Canis lupus familiaris: one gene and its partner. The main gene of each other region encodes a partner of the protein of the gene in region 2 in a complex. Links are inferred from orthologs where the notes say so. Each region holds a gene or a part of one and is shown on either strand. Other genes may lie near its edges.

Region 1 (7,616 bases), on a different chromosome or scaffold from region 2:
TTATTAATAAGGCTTCTGGTCAACAGTAGTCTTAGTAAAGTTTTTGGGAAATTGAAAGTTACATGCTGACTTTTGACTTTGTGAGGAGTCAGCTCCCCCAACTCCCACATTGTTTAAAGGCTAACTGGATCTAGTGTATATTTTTATGTATATAAATTTTACATTTTATAAAAGTATACTTTATGTAATGTAGCACATTAGGGATGTGTGCTCAAAAATGATCTTAGTGATGAGGATATAATAAATATTTGTGGAGGAGGCATTTATTTTAAAACTAGGAAAAAATGGTGTTACAGAAAGCAGCACAGGTCATTGTGTTCAATAGGCAACTGAAAAATCAATGGTCAGACCTTGAGGGTAGCAGCTTTTTAAAATTTATTTCTCCTGATTTTAAACCTGGTTATACCTTTGATCTTCAGAAAAGCTGAGAAGATACAGGGTAGACTTCAACCCTAAAGCAATGTCTTTTTTAGAAATTGAACATTTGTAAACAAGAATGTGGGGGAAATCATTCCAGATAATCTTTTGCATGAAAGCGACACACAAGAAAGATATATTTTTAGGTTTTAGGAATTTGAAAGTAAATTACTATCAGAGAAGCTGAAGAGAAAAGTTTCAGAGTTATGAATAAGATTGAAAGTGATTGCTTATTCTGGAGAAGTTGTAGTAGTTTCAATCTTTAATTTTTCTTTAATGGGATTGATGAAGATAAGTGCAGGATCAGAGAAGACCTCAAAGAATTAATTACAATTTTACCTGTTGTTTTATATTCAGAAGATGAGCGAGAGGCTACCTTCCAGCATTCTGTACAATGTAATAGACTCCCTGTTTCCTTAGCTTATCCCACTTGTTTCTTTTTTTATAAGTTGGTCAAGCTTTATTATAAATTTTTCTAATGTCCTGTGAGATGCTATCTTTAGTTTTTACCTACTCTGTGTAAGTCATTAGAGTCCCTATTGCTTATTCTCCAAAAAAAAATGTCCAAATTATGGAGATTGAGTCTTCTCTTTAATTGACAGAGGCATAGTCAGTCATTAGTGTCATTAGACTGTGATACAAATACTAGTATTTTTTAGACTAATATTGAGTAATTGATAGATTAATTTTTGTAATATTGTAGGTTCTACTGCAGGTGTACCTTAGCCCCTGGATAGGCTTTATTAAAGTATCCATAGTTATATTTATCTATAGTATCAGTGGATCATCTGCTTATCATCTGCTTTTTTTTTTTAGCATTTCTCTGGAAAGTCTTTAAAGCATCTGTTTTTATGAACCACTTCTTGGCTCTGGCCAGCAATATGAATGTAAAAATCAGGTATCCTCGCTGGGCCTCATGTTCTATTCCTTTTTATAGTATTGTTTAACTCATTTCTCTTTCCTTGAATATCTTGTAAATTGGTAGGTATGTCCAGACACTTGATTAAAATTTAGTAGTTTTGTTTTTTAAAACAAGAATACTTCATAAGAATTGCTACATATTTCTACAAGAGACATACAGTGTGGTGGTTTATTTTTAATGATGTTGGAATGCACCTGGTGTTCAGGTCATTTTAAAAGTTCCCGATCAGGCTTTAATGCTTTGGTGTTCATTGATAATTAATTATTGCCTAATCCATTGTTTACAGTCATTTCTTCTGAATTTATTAGCTGGAATTATGCTATAAGCTAGTACTTCTTCATCAACTATTTAGTTCCCTCTGAAATACTATTCTTATAAGAAAGACAAGATAAGGGACGTGTGGGTAGCTCAGTTGGTTAAGCATTCGACTCTTGATTTTGGCTCAGATCATGGTTTCAGGATCATGGGATTAAGCCCCAAGTCTGGCTCCACGCTGGATATGGGCCTGCTTGGGATTCTCTCACTCTGCCCCTACCCATCCCATCCCACCCCATGCTCATGCTCTCTCTCGCTCTCCAAAAAAAAAAGGAAGACAAAACTTTGACGCTTTCCCTTTATATATTAGTTTATAATTTCCGTGAAGACTAATGAAGGGTTTTTAAAAAGTCATTATTCATAAATTTTTATGTAGTTGATGTGCTTTTTATCAATCACAGTATTTCTTTTTGATGAAAGTTGGCTCTTGAATCCACATAAAGAGGTATTTTCGGCTAATCTGCATTTGTATATTTCCTGTCCCAGACCTAGTGTAGCCATATCTGCAAGGCATCCTAGTTCCTTTTTGTGGGAAAATGGTTTTTTGAGATTACAGTCAGTGTGCCAGGAAATTTGGGGCTGCTTGCTAGGTCTTTTTGGTGGATAGAAGTTGAAAACACACACACACTTATAAAAAGACATGAGCTTATACTGATACTTCAGATTCCAATTTAAGTTTATAGGGCTTTTACTCTTACCTTAATTATTGTGTCTTTTTTCTTTTGCATTAACAGTTTGGGTTCCTAAGGATATTAACGTAATTCTTTGCTTGCTTTGTCCTACAAAAATATATAGTAATTTCAAAATAACAGTGTCAATTAATTAGTTCTAACAATGTGATTACTGAATGCATTTAAGATTTCTTTTTTTATTCTCAGACTGTTTCAGTAGGCATGTATAGTAAAAATTCTGTGTTTTAAAGTTGCTCAAACTAATTTTTTGTGTAATTCTCCAGTGGACTAGATAAACATTTAGGTTTCGCTGATCTCTGTTTCCTTTCAGCTTTAGGAATTTCTTTTTTTCCTCTGAGATCTTTTCGATTTAACTTACTTAAAAAAAAAAAAAAAAACCAGTGCAAAGCAAATGCTTTTAAAAATGTACCTTGATTCCTCTCCACTTTCTCCATAAATAACCATTTTTATTAGTTTTTAAATATAAGCAAACACGGACATGTCTGTGGATATGTGTTTGACATTGCCCCTTTTTAAAAAGATTTATTTATTCATTTTTAGAGAGTGTGTGTATGAGTGGGAAGGTGGTAGTGGAGAGACAGAGGGAGAGGGAGAGAGAGAGAATCTCTTATGCGCTGAGTGCAGAGCCTGAGTTGGGGCTTGATCCATGGCCCAAGATGACGATGAGATCACCACCAAGCAGAAACTAAGAATCTGGCGCATAACCAGCAGGGCCACCCAGGTGCCCCTATATTGCCCATTCTTAAAACAGTCTTTTCTGCCTAACTTTTTAGGTAGTATGTGACATCATTGCAGGTAGTGCTGTGAAAATTGCCCTCTTTCCTTTTTTTATACTTTCAAAGTCTCCCCAAGTCTTCATCGATCAACTCTTGGATGTTTTATCAGCCGGCTTTGGGAGCCAGTATCTATTAATGGGAAGGGAAAAGGAAGACAATAAATGTTGCCAAAATGTGTGTCATTTTCTCATAAGGCGATATTATTTTTCCCCATTATTAAAGAGGAGGAAGTTGAAGTTCAGGAAGCTGTAGTTACACACTCCAGATCACATGGCCAGTAGGAAGTTGGTTAGTAGTTGAGGATTGAATGCACCTGAAGTCTGTTTGTAATAGATCACAAGTGATGTGACTGGGCATCACAGCATTTCAGTGGTGGTCATGCTGGCACATTGAAAATTTTTAACAGTTCAGAGGATCTCATTTTACTTCACTTTTTAATTTTTGGTGTTTGTTACTGTTAATAAAAGGTTTTTTATTCGACAGAGAGCTCGAGAGCATGAGCAGGGGAAGAGGATCAGAGGTAGAGGGAAGAGCAAATTCTGCTGAGCAGGAAAGTCCCATTCGGGCTCCATCCCAGGACCCTGGGATCTTGACCTGAGCTGAAGGCAGACCCTCAACTGACTGAGTCACCCAGGGGTCCCTTGTTTTTATATTTGAATGGCACTTAATCTGATAGAATACCTCAGTTTTGTGGGGGTTTTTAAATAATTTTTGAGAGTTCTATTTTAAAATGTATAATATATGAAATGTTTAGGGTCCAAAATGCAGCAAATGGAAATTGAAGAAGAAATTATACAGAATTCTAAGCCTTAACTATTCTCACTGTTTAAACTGTATAGTTTAAGTCAGTTTTCATAACAACCAAATTTATTACATATTTTTTCCTTCAGTTTTAACCTGAAGCCAATGCCTAGAGCATCCATTTAATGTTAAGATGGCAAATTTGCAGTCGGAGTAATTATTTCTACTCTCAGATGACTTTTAATTTATGAGGATCATAAGTTCACTGCCTTCCTTCTGTTTTCTTAACTATACACATGGAAATTCTTTCTCTTGAAAATGTGTTGCCCCAAGTTTAACAAGATTTTTTTTTTTTCTATTCTAGTTTGGGAATACCTGCTACTGTAATTCAGTTCTTCAAGCACTTTATTTTTGTCGTCCATTTCGGGAAAAAGTTCTAGCGTACAAGAGCCAACCTAGGAAGAAGGAGAACCTTCTTACCTGCCTAGCAGACCTCTTCCATAGTATAGCGACTCAGAAGAAGAAGGTTGGGGTGATTCCTCCTAAGAAGTTCATAACAAGATTACGGAAGGAAAATGGTAATTCTTCTACTTCTGAATGTATTTTCACATAACAGGAAGGGTAAATACAGCATATTAGATTTCATCAAGCACTGACCAAGCGTCTTCCAAGCCTGAAGGATGTTAGCCATTGGAAAACCAAAGTTGATGTTCTTGTCTTTAAGGAAGTACTACCAGTTTAGTGAGGAGATAGTCACACAGTAATTTAATAGGAGGTGTGATTAATGTTGGAAGTATGTTCTGCAAAGACCAAATTCTGTATGCCAGGAAATGAGAAATGATAACTTGTTTTGTTTTCTTTCTTTTCTTTTCTTTTCTTTTCTTTTCTTTTCTTTTCTTTTCTTTTCTCTCTTTCTCTTTCTCTTTCTCTTTCTCTTTCTCCTCCTCTTTCTCTTTCTCCTCCTCCTCCTCCTCCTTCTTCTTCTTTTCTTTTTTCTTCTTCTTTCTTCCTTTTTTTTTTTTTTTTTTGTTGGTGCCTGCTTGGCTTTCCTATCCAGAGTGAAGTTGGGTTCCCCCCCACCCCCGTCGTGTTATTTGTAGTTTTTGTAATGCTTTTATGTATATTAACCTATTTGATCCTTATATACTATCCTGAATTAGGGAGCAGGTTATTTCCCCCATTTTAGCCATACAAGGAGTGGAAGCCAAAAAGCTTGCCAGGGGTCATACTTCAGGAGAAAAGCCAGAATAATAAAACTTTTTGGCTTAGGGTAGGTGGTTTTAACTCCACTCACCTCCTTTTTAAAATAGTTACTGATTAAGCCTCACTTCTTTTTTCTCCCCTAAATGTTTTTCGTCTAATGCGCATAGCAAACCCTGAAGTCATGTTATTACCTCACTTTACATGAGATAGTGAATCTCAGAGTACTTAAAATGGCTTGTCCCATCTTCCTGACATCCAGATCCTATATTCTGTCTAGTGTGGTATGTTACCTCAAGAAATTTAAGTGGGATTTAAGGAGCATGTAGAATGCTGGGTTTTGTTTGATTTAGGCATTTTTATCATTGTAGAAATAAAATTGAGTGGTGTTTTTAGTTTGATTTGTTATCAAAAGATGCCCCCAGAAATAAGATTTGATAGGTCTTTGAGACTGGTTATTAAACACACCATTAAATAATCCTTTCCTTAACTCAGTTGGCATTGTTCATTATCCCATGAATTGAGATAAACCTGGATCATATCTAGTTTCCCAAAATGTAAGAAGACACTGAGAAAATATGGCGATAAGCTGTTGTTCTTGAATCTGATTCACGTGTTAGAGATTTTGTTCGTTTCCACCATATTCAGATAAAAAGCAGTTAATCATTCGCTCACAAAAATACATCTTTTTGTGTTTTCCCTATAAAGGCTAAACATCTTTACTTTCTTAAATTATTGATCTGTGTAGTATCTTCTACTTTTAAGAATGCCAAATACAGCTCTGCTAGAATGTAGCTGAGTGATCCAAGTCCTCTCAGTCTTTTTGTGTGTATTGGTATGAAACTTCAAGAATTTTGTCCTAGAAGAAAATTCACGTATGTGGTAATTGAACATGCCATCCTTTCTTGGTGATTTTTTTTTTTTTTTGTATTTTAGCAATGTTCAGCATCAAAAACATGAAACACAAAATACATATTCTTTTTAAAAAATATTTATTTATTCATAAGAGACACAGAGAGAGAGGCAGAGACACAGGCAGAGGAAGAAGCAGGCTCCATGCAGGGAGCCTGATGTGGGACTCTATCCCGGGACTCCGGGATCAGGCCCTGAGCCAAAGGCAGATGCTCAACCGCTGAGCCACCAAGGCATCCGCCACATTATTTTCTTTTTCAGTTAATAGTACATTTTTCTTGACCCTTATTCTTTTTTTTTTTTTTTTTTTTTTTTAGGATTTCTTTATTTTAGAGAGAGCACGCATAAGCATACATGTGGGAGGGGCACAGGGAGAGAAAGGAGAGAATTTCAAGTAGACTCCCTGCTGAGTGTGGAGCTGGGTGCAGGGCCCAAATGCAGTGCCTGGTCTCACGACTCTGCCATCATGACCTGAGCCAGAAGAGTTGAACGCTTAACCAGTTGAGCCACCCAGGCACCCCTTGACCTTATTCTTCAATATATTGTATATGCTCTTAGTTTGGGCTGCTGTAACAAAACTACTATAGATTGGGAGGCCTAAACAATAGACTTGTGTTTCTTACAGTTCTGGAGGCTGAGAAATCCAAGAGTAAAGTGCTGGCAGCTTCAGTGTCTGATACAGGCTCTTTTCCTGGTTTGCAGATGGCTGCCTTCTTGCTGTGTCCCCACATGGGAAAGAGAAAGAAGCAAGCTCTGTCCTATCTCTTCTTATAAGTGTGCAGTGATTTTTTAAATTTAAATTAAGTTATGCTGAACACTGAGCTCAAGTTACTGTGTTTTGAAAGCTATGTATATGTGGCTTTATATGTTTGCTTGTCAAACCTGGGATGTCTTTACACTGTTTATTATTTTTTAATCAATATTTTCTGAAAATTTTTATGTTTAGACAGTAAATTGATGCACAATGGACTTCTTAAAACTTTTGTTCAATGAAACTGATTTCAGGATAAATACTCCAAATTATCTTCTCATAGTTTTATTTCATTTTTCTGTATCTCGGAAACAGTATTTAATGGAAAAGCATGATTAATATTTGATATTGCTGACTTTTGTGTGTTTTGAAATATAGTTTTACTTTTTGATTTTTTACTTGTAGATGAGAGCATACAAATTAAAGAGGATTTAATGGGCTATCCATTGCTTTAAACTCTCCTTCTGAGATTATGTTTGCTGGTTGTTTTTTTTTTTAATTTATTTTTTATTTTTATTTTATTTTTTTATTTCTGGAACAAATGGATGTTGCCCATTTCAGAATTTCCACCAACTTTCACTGTTGGACTGTTGTTCTTAAATCAGTTTTCATCCATGGTATGCTGTAAAATTCATGTTTTATATTTTCAGTAGATATTAGCTCCAAATTGTGTTAACCACTATTACTTTATATAACTAATCATTTTGATATTACTTGGGAAGAATCTATTTTCATTTTATTAATGGATTTTTGTTTTCAAAATTTTAATTCATGTTACCTAATCATAGCATATCAGAACTGTAGCATAGTATACTTTTACAGTGTGATAACACTTGCTCCATAAGTGTGTTATCTTTGATGATGGGAAACCAGCTGAATGTTTGAATTTA
Region 2 (7,616 bases):
CCGTCCTCACCGCTCTTTCCAGGTGGGGTGGGGGTGGGAGCAGGGAGGCATCCAGGCTCAAGTGTTCTGAGCCACTAGGCTGAGTCCCTAAGTTGCAGGGAATAAAGTGCCCTGTGGAGGCCACATGACGAGCAGGCCAGAGTGTTGGGGGGACAGTAAGAGCCTGGTAGTCTTCTTTGCTCTCACTACACTTTCTCCGCAGATCTTTCGTCTGATCTCAGGGAGGTGATGACTATTTACATGCCGAATTCCTGCATTTTCATCCCTGGTTTTGGGCTCCAGGTCCATGTATCTAACATCTACCAGCCTTTGAAGCTTGTCAAGTACAGAATTGAACTCTGATCTTTCCCTCCACTCCCCAAACCTACTCCTTCTTCAGTCTTCCCCAGTGTGGAAGGGACAGCCAGAAACCTACCAGTGTTCATGCCTCTCTCCAATTCAATCTCCGAGCAGTAGCCAGGGAATTTTCAAAAACACCAGCCTGACCTTGTGCTCCTGCTTCCTTCTGTGGGAATCGCACGCCTCAGCCAAGAGGCAACAGCTGGGCGCCACCCTAAGTGGCACCACACTCCGGTCTCACAGCCTCCTGGTACACCACCCTCCCCGGGTCCATGGCCCCCTCTCCATTCTCCTGGTCTCAGCTTCTTTCCTACTCAAGGCCTTTACCTGCTCTCCCTTCTGGGAAACTCTCCATCTCAAGCTGTTCCATGGCTGGCCGCCTCCTCAGGGGAGGTTCCAGCTAGAGCACAGCAACTACTTCATGAAATGTCCTCCACCACCCCTGTGCCTCTCCCTGCCCGCCCCCCCGCCCCCGCCCCGGCCTCTGCCTCCTCAACTGGCACATGTCACCATTTGCCCCAAGCGTGTGTGAGGGGTGCTACTGTTTACATATCTACCCCTCTCTCAGCAGGTATCTACAGGGCAGGCTCGAGTAGGCACACAGAAGGTAACCAAGGTCTGTTGCCTGGATGAGACATGGTCGCTGCTCTCGTTCAAGCCCTCAGCCCTCACACAAACAGGCACCAGCCTCCTCACTTGTCACCCTGCTACTCTCTCTCCATTCTGACCCACCCTCCACAAGCACTGACAAGCACTCTAAAGGACACACTTGACACGGTCACTCTCTTGATCAGAAGCCCAAAACTACCTTTACAGCCTCCAGCGTCAGATCCAAGCCTCTCAGCATGTCAGGGCATTTACAGTCTGGTTCCGACGGCGCACCCGCTGGCTCCGCCTCCCACCTCTCTGAGGCCTACCTGCTGCCATGATCATGCCTGGCCACCCAACACTCCTCTGCATACCAAGCAGTTTGCTTCAGCTCTGAGAGCCTCTCTCACCCTTCCCCAATTCCTGTGCATCTTTCAAGACCCAGATTAAGTGTCACCTTCTGGAAATCTCAGACTTCCTCCATCAAACTTAACTTCTGCTTTATGGTATTTGATACACACTGAAGAATACAGTTAACACATATCCTCTGGCACTTTGCTCCTGACACCCTGATAACATGCCCCAGTACCCTATCCATCTGCCTTACTAAACTGTGAGCTCCTAGGAACACAGAGGCCCAGCCATCTGGCGACCACATGTGGTGGGGCTTACAGTCTGTGAAAGTAATTTCAGTTCCACCTCTGTAGTCAACGTACTACCTGCCTGGACAATTCACTTACCTTCTCTTTGACTATTTCCTCATCTGTGAGATGCTAACAGCTACTCACCCAACCATGAAGAGGACAAATATTAAACACTCTGAAACCGCTAACTCTCATACCAATGCAAAGCATGGCGTGATGATGGCTTTCACCACCATTCCTGGCACTCTTGGAGAAACAAACCTCTAATGACCCTTGCTCTTACACATCCTGACCAAAATCTGATGAAAATCGTATCCACACAGCCAAAGAATTTCCTTACTGTGAAAGCCTCATGCTATAAGTGCCAAGCTGGAATTTAACCATACACAGCCCTAGTATGGTGAACAGACATTTTTCAAATAAAATATAAGACAAGTATGAAACCGCTCATGCTTGAATCACCAAGTGAGGAGCTGCTTCCTAGCCTGCAATCCCTACTGCTGTCCAGAGCAAGAGACAGATCTGGCTGATGCATCTGAGCACTCTCAGAGCCCCAAGACTCCTGCCTCCCCCATGATGACACACAAGCCCCTCTTGTTCTCAAAGTGGCATTCTGTGCCATCCTCAGCGGGAGGAGCCTCCTGATCTCATTTGCCAATAGCCCTTCCTCCTCAACAACATGCCCCCTACCTGAATACAAACAAAATCCCACAATGACTCCAAATTCAGTTTCTGGTGACAATGCAAAGAGTGGTTGCTCCCCCACAACCACCACCAGGAGGGGAGAAAAAAATCATTCAGCTACCAGGAAATCACTTCCTCAGATGTTATTAATAAAACATTTAGGTAAATAAAAGTTTTCTGCTTCAGACTTATTTTTAACAGAAAATGGGATAAATACTTCTCTTCTAGAGTTTTGTCAATCCACATGGCAAGTTCTGTTTCCTGTCAACCCAGTTGAAACTAGAAAAGGAGATGGCCTGGTTCAAGAGATCTCACCAAATCCATTGGCAATGCCAAACAGAAGCATTGTGGATGGGGACCAGCTGTGTGTGGACAGTGTGGGCCAGGACACTGCAAAAGAATCCACATTTTAACTGCAATCTGTCAACTTGAATATTATTGCCCCCCCACCAAATTATTTCTTATAAACCAGAACCTATAATGCACTTCTATTTCAAGCTTATAACATCAAAACCAGGAAACAGCAAAAAACCATGTGTCCTTCCTAAGAGAGGGGTCCTATGTAACCTGACTCTTGTCACATCAGGGTCGAGGTCACAAGTCAACCCTGGGGCCCTGGGCTTCTAGACTGGCAAGCCCCTTACAACTTTTCCATTTGCTGAGAAAGTCACACTGAAACAGAGAAGTGAGAACACTGAATCTACAAATGGCAATTCTGCGGCCGAAAAGCACCCCCGACAGCTTTACCATACACCATCTATGTGGCAACTGTTACGTGCCACATCTAACAGTTCTGACCTGTTCCTGAACACACAGCTCACATAGCTCAGGCTCCTTCCAGAACAAAACTGGAGACGCTAGAAATCAAACACATGCTATAAGACTAGCAAAAGCTACGTCCTGTGATCCATCTTTAAATGCCAGCATTTCAAATATGTCAAAGGTGATGTTACAGCAAATATCTCTAAGAGAAAGAAAGCTACTCTTTAGCCAAACACCTGTCAAATGGAGACACAAAAGACTGAGCTACAATTTAAGTGGCCTAAGGAAATATTATCAAGTTCTTCAATCTGCATGAAATTTTCTGGTGATGTGAACAAGGTCCAGAATTCTGTATTTTCTTATTTAAGCTATAAATATCAAGTGACAGTTTTGTCCCTGTCTCCATTATAAAAGAGTTTTAAAGCACCTGCTAAAGGCAGCTGAGCACGCTCCATAAAAATTGCACAAAACAGTTCCCCCAAGGAAGAATAGATATGTCAACAAGTTAATCACCACATTTAAACGGGTAATACTAGGTAGGACAGTGAAAGAATGAAAAATGGGCTTTAGCTCGGCGTGTAAAATAAGGCCCACTGCCCTTGGTAAGAACGTATAAATTCTTAAAGGGATTCTTAACAGCTAAGACAGGGTGCTACTTACTTCCTCATTAAATAGTTTGCTAGTTTCTTTTTTGATTGGATCTATAAGCTGGACTTGGCCTGCGGAAAAGCCCACTAGGAGAGAGACACTTTCTGCTGTGGCTGTTAGGTGGTTGAAGTCATGACAAGTAGGCTGTGTTCCTTTGTATATCCTTTTATCTATTGGTTTACTCAAGTCAGCAGCCTGGAGGAGAAAGAGAAAAATACATACGGTAAACAGCACATTGAGATGAGAAATCTAATAGTTACACTATTTTATACTCCATTACGATGTTCAATCTTAAAAACAAAGGTATTTAAATTTTTGTTTCAGTTTTCAGCATTTTGTAAAAGCACTTTCACATACATAAGCCAATTTGATATTGTCAAACTATTCATAATATAACTGTTACCTCCATGACTTATTCTTCAAATATCTTTAACATAAGCTCCTGGACTTCAGGAGGAAAACTTGAGATAACTAATTCAGTATTTGCAAAATGCATTCATTCCAAGCAATTTCTAACAGAGTACCTCTAACCACATAAAAACTCAGCTTGCAAATGTATCTACGGCATCTAAATGCTCACTGGTGAGTTACCTGTAGCCCAGGGGTTCTCAAAGTGTGGTCCCGAGACCATTGGTGGCAGCAGCAGCATCACCTGGAAACTCAGAAATGCAAACTCTCAAGCCCCACCCCACATCAAATGAATCTGAAACTACAGGGGTGGGCCTAGCAAGCCTTCCAGGTGATTCCGATGCTCACTCCAGATTTGAGAACCACTGCTGCAGCCAATTATAAGCAGGTGCCTTCTTAGTGGGTCCCGGTCCCTCTTCTGCATTAGCTTTCAGGTACCTTCACTTACTGAGGCCACACTCCAAAGTGCGTGACACGCATCATCTTTAAACCTTACAATGATCCCTCAAAGTAGAGAACGTTCCCCCATTTTGCAGATGAGAAAACAAGCTTAGGGAGGTTAAATAACTCGGCCACCATACCTACCTAAGTAAATAAGCAACTGGATGTGGAACCCAGGTCTGTTTGACCATAAAAGGGATGGGGAGAACACACACCCCAAAGTCAGAAGCAAATATTTCTGACTTGGGCCAAAAGTGATTTTTCAATCTGCCTCCCCCTAAATCCCTAAAGCAGGACTTTTTTCTTCATGAGAAATGTTCTGTGCAATCTAATGTGCTGGATTCACGTGGAAATTAAGGACACCACCCTCCAGTCTTAGTGGGAAGTCACAGGTGCAGACAACCAGGCTGCTGAGCCCATCCTCTGACACAACCACTGGGGCCACGGCTCTCGTTATCTGCTGACCAAACCCTGAGTTAGGTTCTGAAAATGTCTTTCCCCCAAAGAGGCCTGTGACATTGTGCCGAGGATTCTGTTTCATTTTCCAAATAACAAACACAAATACTGAGTAGAAAAGAGGAACTCAAAAATCACAGGCATCTTTGAGCAAACTCCAAACCCGAGCATTTGAAGTGTGGACCCGAGTGGAACAGGATCTCTGAGAGCCCAGGGCTGAGGAATGAAGATACATGCCATGCGGACACTCTCCCAGCCTCACCTCGGTTAAAACGGAGATGAGAATCTCTGTTCTACCAACCTCATGGGATTGTCTGGAGGATGAAATAAGAGAATATATACGTGAAAGAGGCTTGAAAAGTGTAATATAAAGCACGATACAAAACACAGGGAAGTCCTGACTTTGCAGCAAGGCGAAATGGGGCCAGTTCAGAAGGGAGTAAGTGCTGAGGCAGGCTGAAGGCTGTGCCCTGAGGAGGTATGAGGGAGCTTCAGGGGCCAGAGAAAGCCACCTCTGCCCCCTCCCGTTCCCCCACAGGGACAGGCCAGGGACAGGCCACCTGAGGGAAGCTGCTCCCAGGATGGGTCCTGAAAGCAGGGAAAAAGCAGCTAGACTAAGGGACCTTTAGCAAATAATTTCAGAGCAGAGAAGGTATTGGTAAATGTCAAAAGAGCCCAAGCTAGAAAAAGACATTGGCAGCTAGAGACAAAAACCAAATCTAAAATACATACAATTATTACATGATCTCTACACCAGCATATATCTGAGAATTTTTTTTAAAGTTTGCTTAGGGAATTTCCCCCTTAAAGAACATATCTAAAATTATGCACAAAACTATAAAAATCAATTCAAAGGCAAGACAAAAATTAGCAGAGAAAACAATATAAATTAAATGAGCAAAAGAACATCCAATGGTTTTCAGAAACAACAGAGGAAGTAAGCACATCCATTTTCCTGAATATTGTTACTAGGGTAGAGTTAAACTTACAGACCCCTCCCAGTAACTACATTAGCTCACTTCTTGGTATATTTACTATATATCCTGCCTAATAAGGAACTTTATTGAAAAGATGTCATCTGTAATTAGATTACATGTATTTTAAATGCCAATAGAAAGACTACTTTTACTCTTAAATCATGTAAATAGTCCCAAAACATCCTGCTTACTAATCTGCTTAACAACTTTCTTCCCAGACCAGGGCTCTCACAGTGTACCAGTCTGCGCCAGTCTACAGGCAAGATTAAGTACAGAGATGAGAATAAGCATTTAGAAACTTTTATGGCAATCGGACAGAGTAACTTTCTATTGACTCAATAATAAAAATTAGAATTTGTATTGTGCACCTCTATCATTTTGTTTCCCAGTATCTTTTTTTTAAAATTTTAATAAAGTAGCAGTCTAGACAGATGGAAAATTTTAACAATTGGTCCTTCAACACTGGTGAGAAGCACTGCCCTAGGAGGCACAAAAGTAAACCGAGGCCCAAGAAACACTCAGAATCTCTCTCATCTGGGGTGACTCCCTGTCCCCAACCCCCAACGGCACCAGCCTTACTAGAACAGCAAGCAACATGGCCCTTACAGCAAGCACAAACTACTATGAAGCCCTATGTGACTGCTAGGTATATGCCTGTAAGAAATTCGACTTCTGAGAAACCCATGGACTCCACCACAGGTCACTGAGCTATATGGAGCCCAACACCAGAGGGAGAAAGTCTGGTTACCAGTACCTGCCTTCATCTCGAGCAATGCCGTCATCTCTGACCCATTTTGTCCTCTTTCTTCTGCAACCAATCACCAAGTTCGATCTCTTTTCCTTTTTTTTTTAAAGATTTTATTTTATTTATTTTATTTATTCATAGAGACAGAGAGAGGCAGAGACACAGGCAGAGGGAGACGCAGGCACCACACAGAGAGCCTGACGTGGGACTCGATCCCAGGTCTCCAGGATCACGCCCTGGGCTGCAGGCGGCGCTAAACCGCTGCGCCACCGGGGCTGCCCCTCGATCTCTTTTCCTATTAATGTGTTGGTGTCCTATTTCTTCTTCCTCCTCTTCCTCTCTTCTTTGGGGGTGGAGGGGTGCCAACACAGACACTGAATTCACACACATTTTAGTAGCAGTAATAACCACCTGAACAGCCATGCCTCTTCTGCATGGTGTTGCTAGATGGCTTCCCAGGGAAAGGAAGTCAGGAGAAAGAACCCAGACTTTGGAGCCAGGCAGGCCTAGGTTCAAAGCCTGCCTTCCCTCTGGGAAGACGGGTGGCCTCAGGCAAAGTGCTCCACAGCAAGTGAGTGGTGAGGCCCACCAGGAATGGATCTATGAAGCACAGGGCGTGCAGATTCACCTGACTGGCAGCTACCATTGTTAATCTGTCCCTGTCATAGCTTCCTAATTTCCCTTACATTGGAGTGACACCGACTTCCACCTGTGGAGTGAAACATTTGCTGGGCACCAGTGGCTTCACATTCACATCTCTCACATCACAGTCCGCCCCCAAAATACCCTGCCTTGGGGACACTGATACCACTGGCCTGCCATCCTCTGGGGAGGGACAGGGAAGGGACTCAGTCCTTCAGGGCCCAGCCACCAGCCCTGGGCAGGCCCTCTGCGGGAGGGTGGCCCTACTGCTGGGGGGTGGGG

What was found. The genes of interacting proteins can lie anywhere in the genome.
Region 1: the proteins of WDR20 (region 2) and USP12 are in contact, whole or in part, in a crystal structure (PDB 5K1C), measured with the Homo sapiens proteins. The link is inferred for Canis lupus familiaris from reciprocal best matches to the Homo sapiens genes WDR20 and USP12. Residues at the interface, in NP_653175.2 of Homo sapiens: Asn41, Ser42, Gly44, Ser45, Arg151, Ser170, Lys259, Ser260, Tyr261, Phe262, Gly263, Glu282, Asp283, Asp284, Leu285, His301, Lys304, Ser305, Trp306, Gln374, Asp375, Thr376, Arg516, Met517, His533, Glu534, Arg535; in NP_872294.2 of Homo sapiens: Glu207, Asn209, Thr210, Ser211, Thr213, His214, Arg217, Arg277, Val279, Phe280, Pro281, Leu282, Glu283, Leu284, Arg285, Phe287, Asp297, Met299, Gln342, Glu345, Tyr348, Thr351, Ser352.

The regions. Positions count from the first base shown.
Region 1 is NC_049246.1:12,504,567-12,512,182, forward strand, and holds part of USP12 (ubiquitin carboxyl-terminal hydrolase 12), read left to right. Parts: intron 1-4,227; coding exon 4,228-4,441; intron 4,442-7,616. UniProt on the Homo sapiens protein: Deubiquitinating enzyme that plays various roles in the regulation of the immune response and inflammation.
Region 2 is NC_049229.1:70,590,893-70,598,508, reverse strand, and holds part of WDR20 (WD repeat-containing protein 20), read right to left. Parts: intron 5,285-7,616; coding exon of another isoform or gene 5,233-5,284; intron 3,861-5,232; coding exon 3,678-3,860; intron 1-3,677. UniProt on the Homo sapiens protein: Regulator of deubiquitinating complexes. Activates deubiquitinating activity of complexes containing USP12. Anchors at the base of the ubiquitin-contacting loop of USP12 and remotely modulates the catalytic center of the enzyme.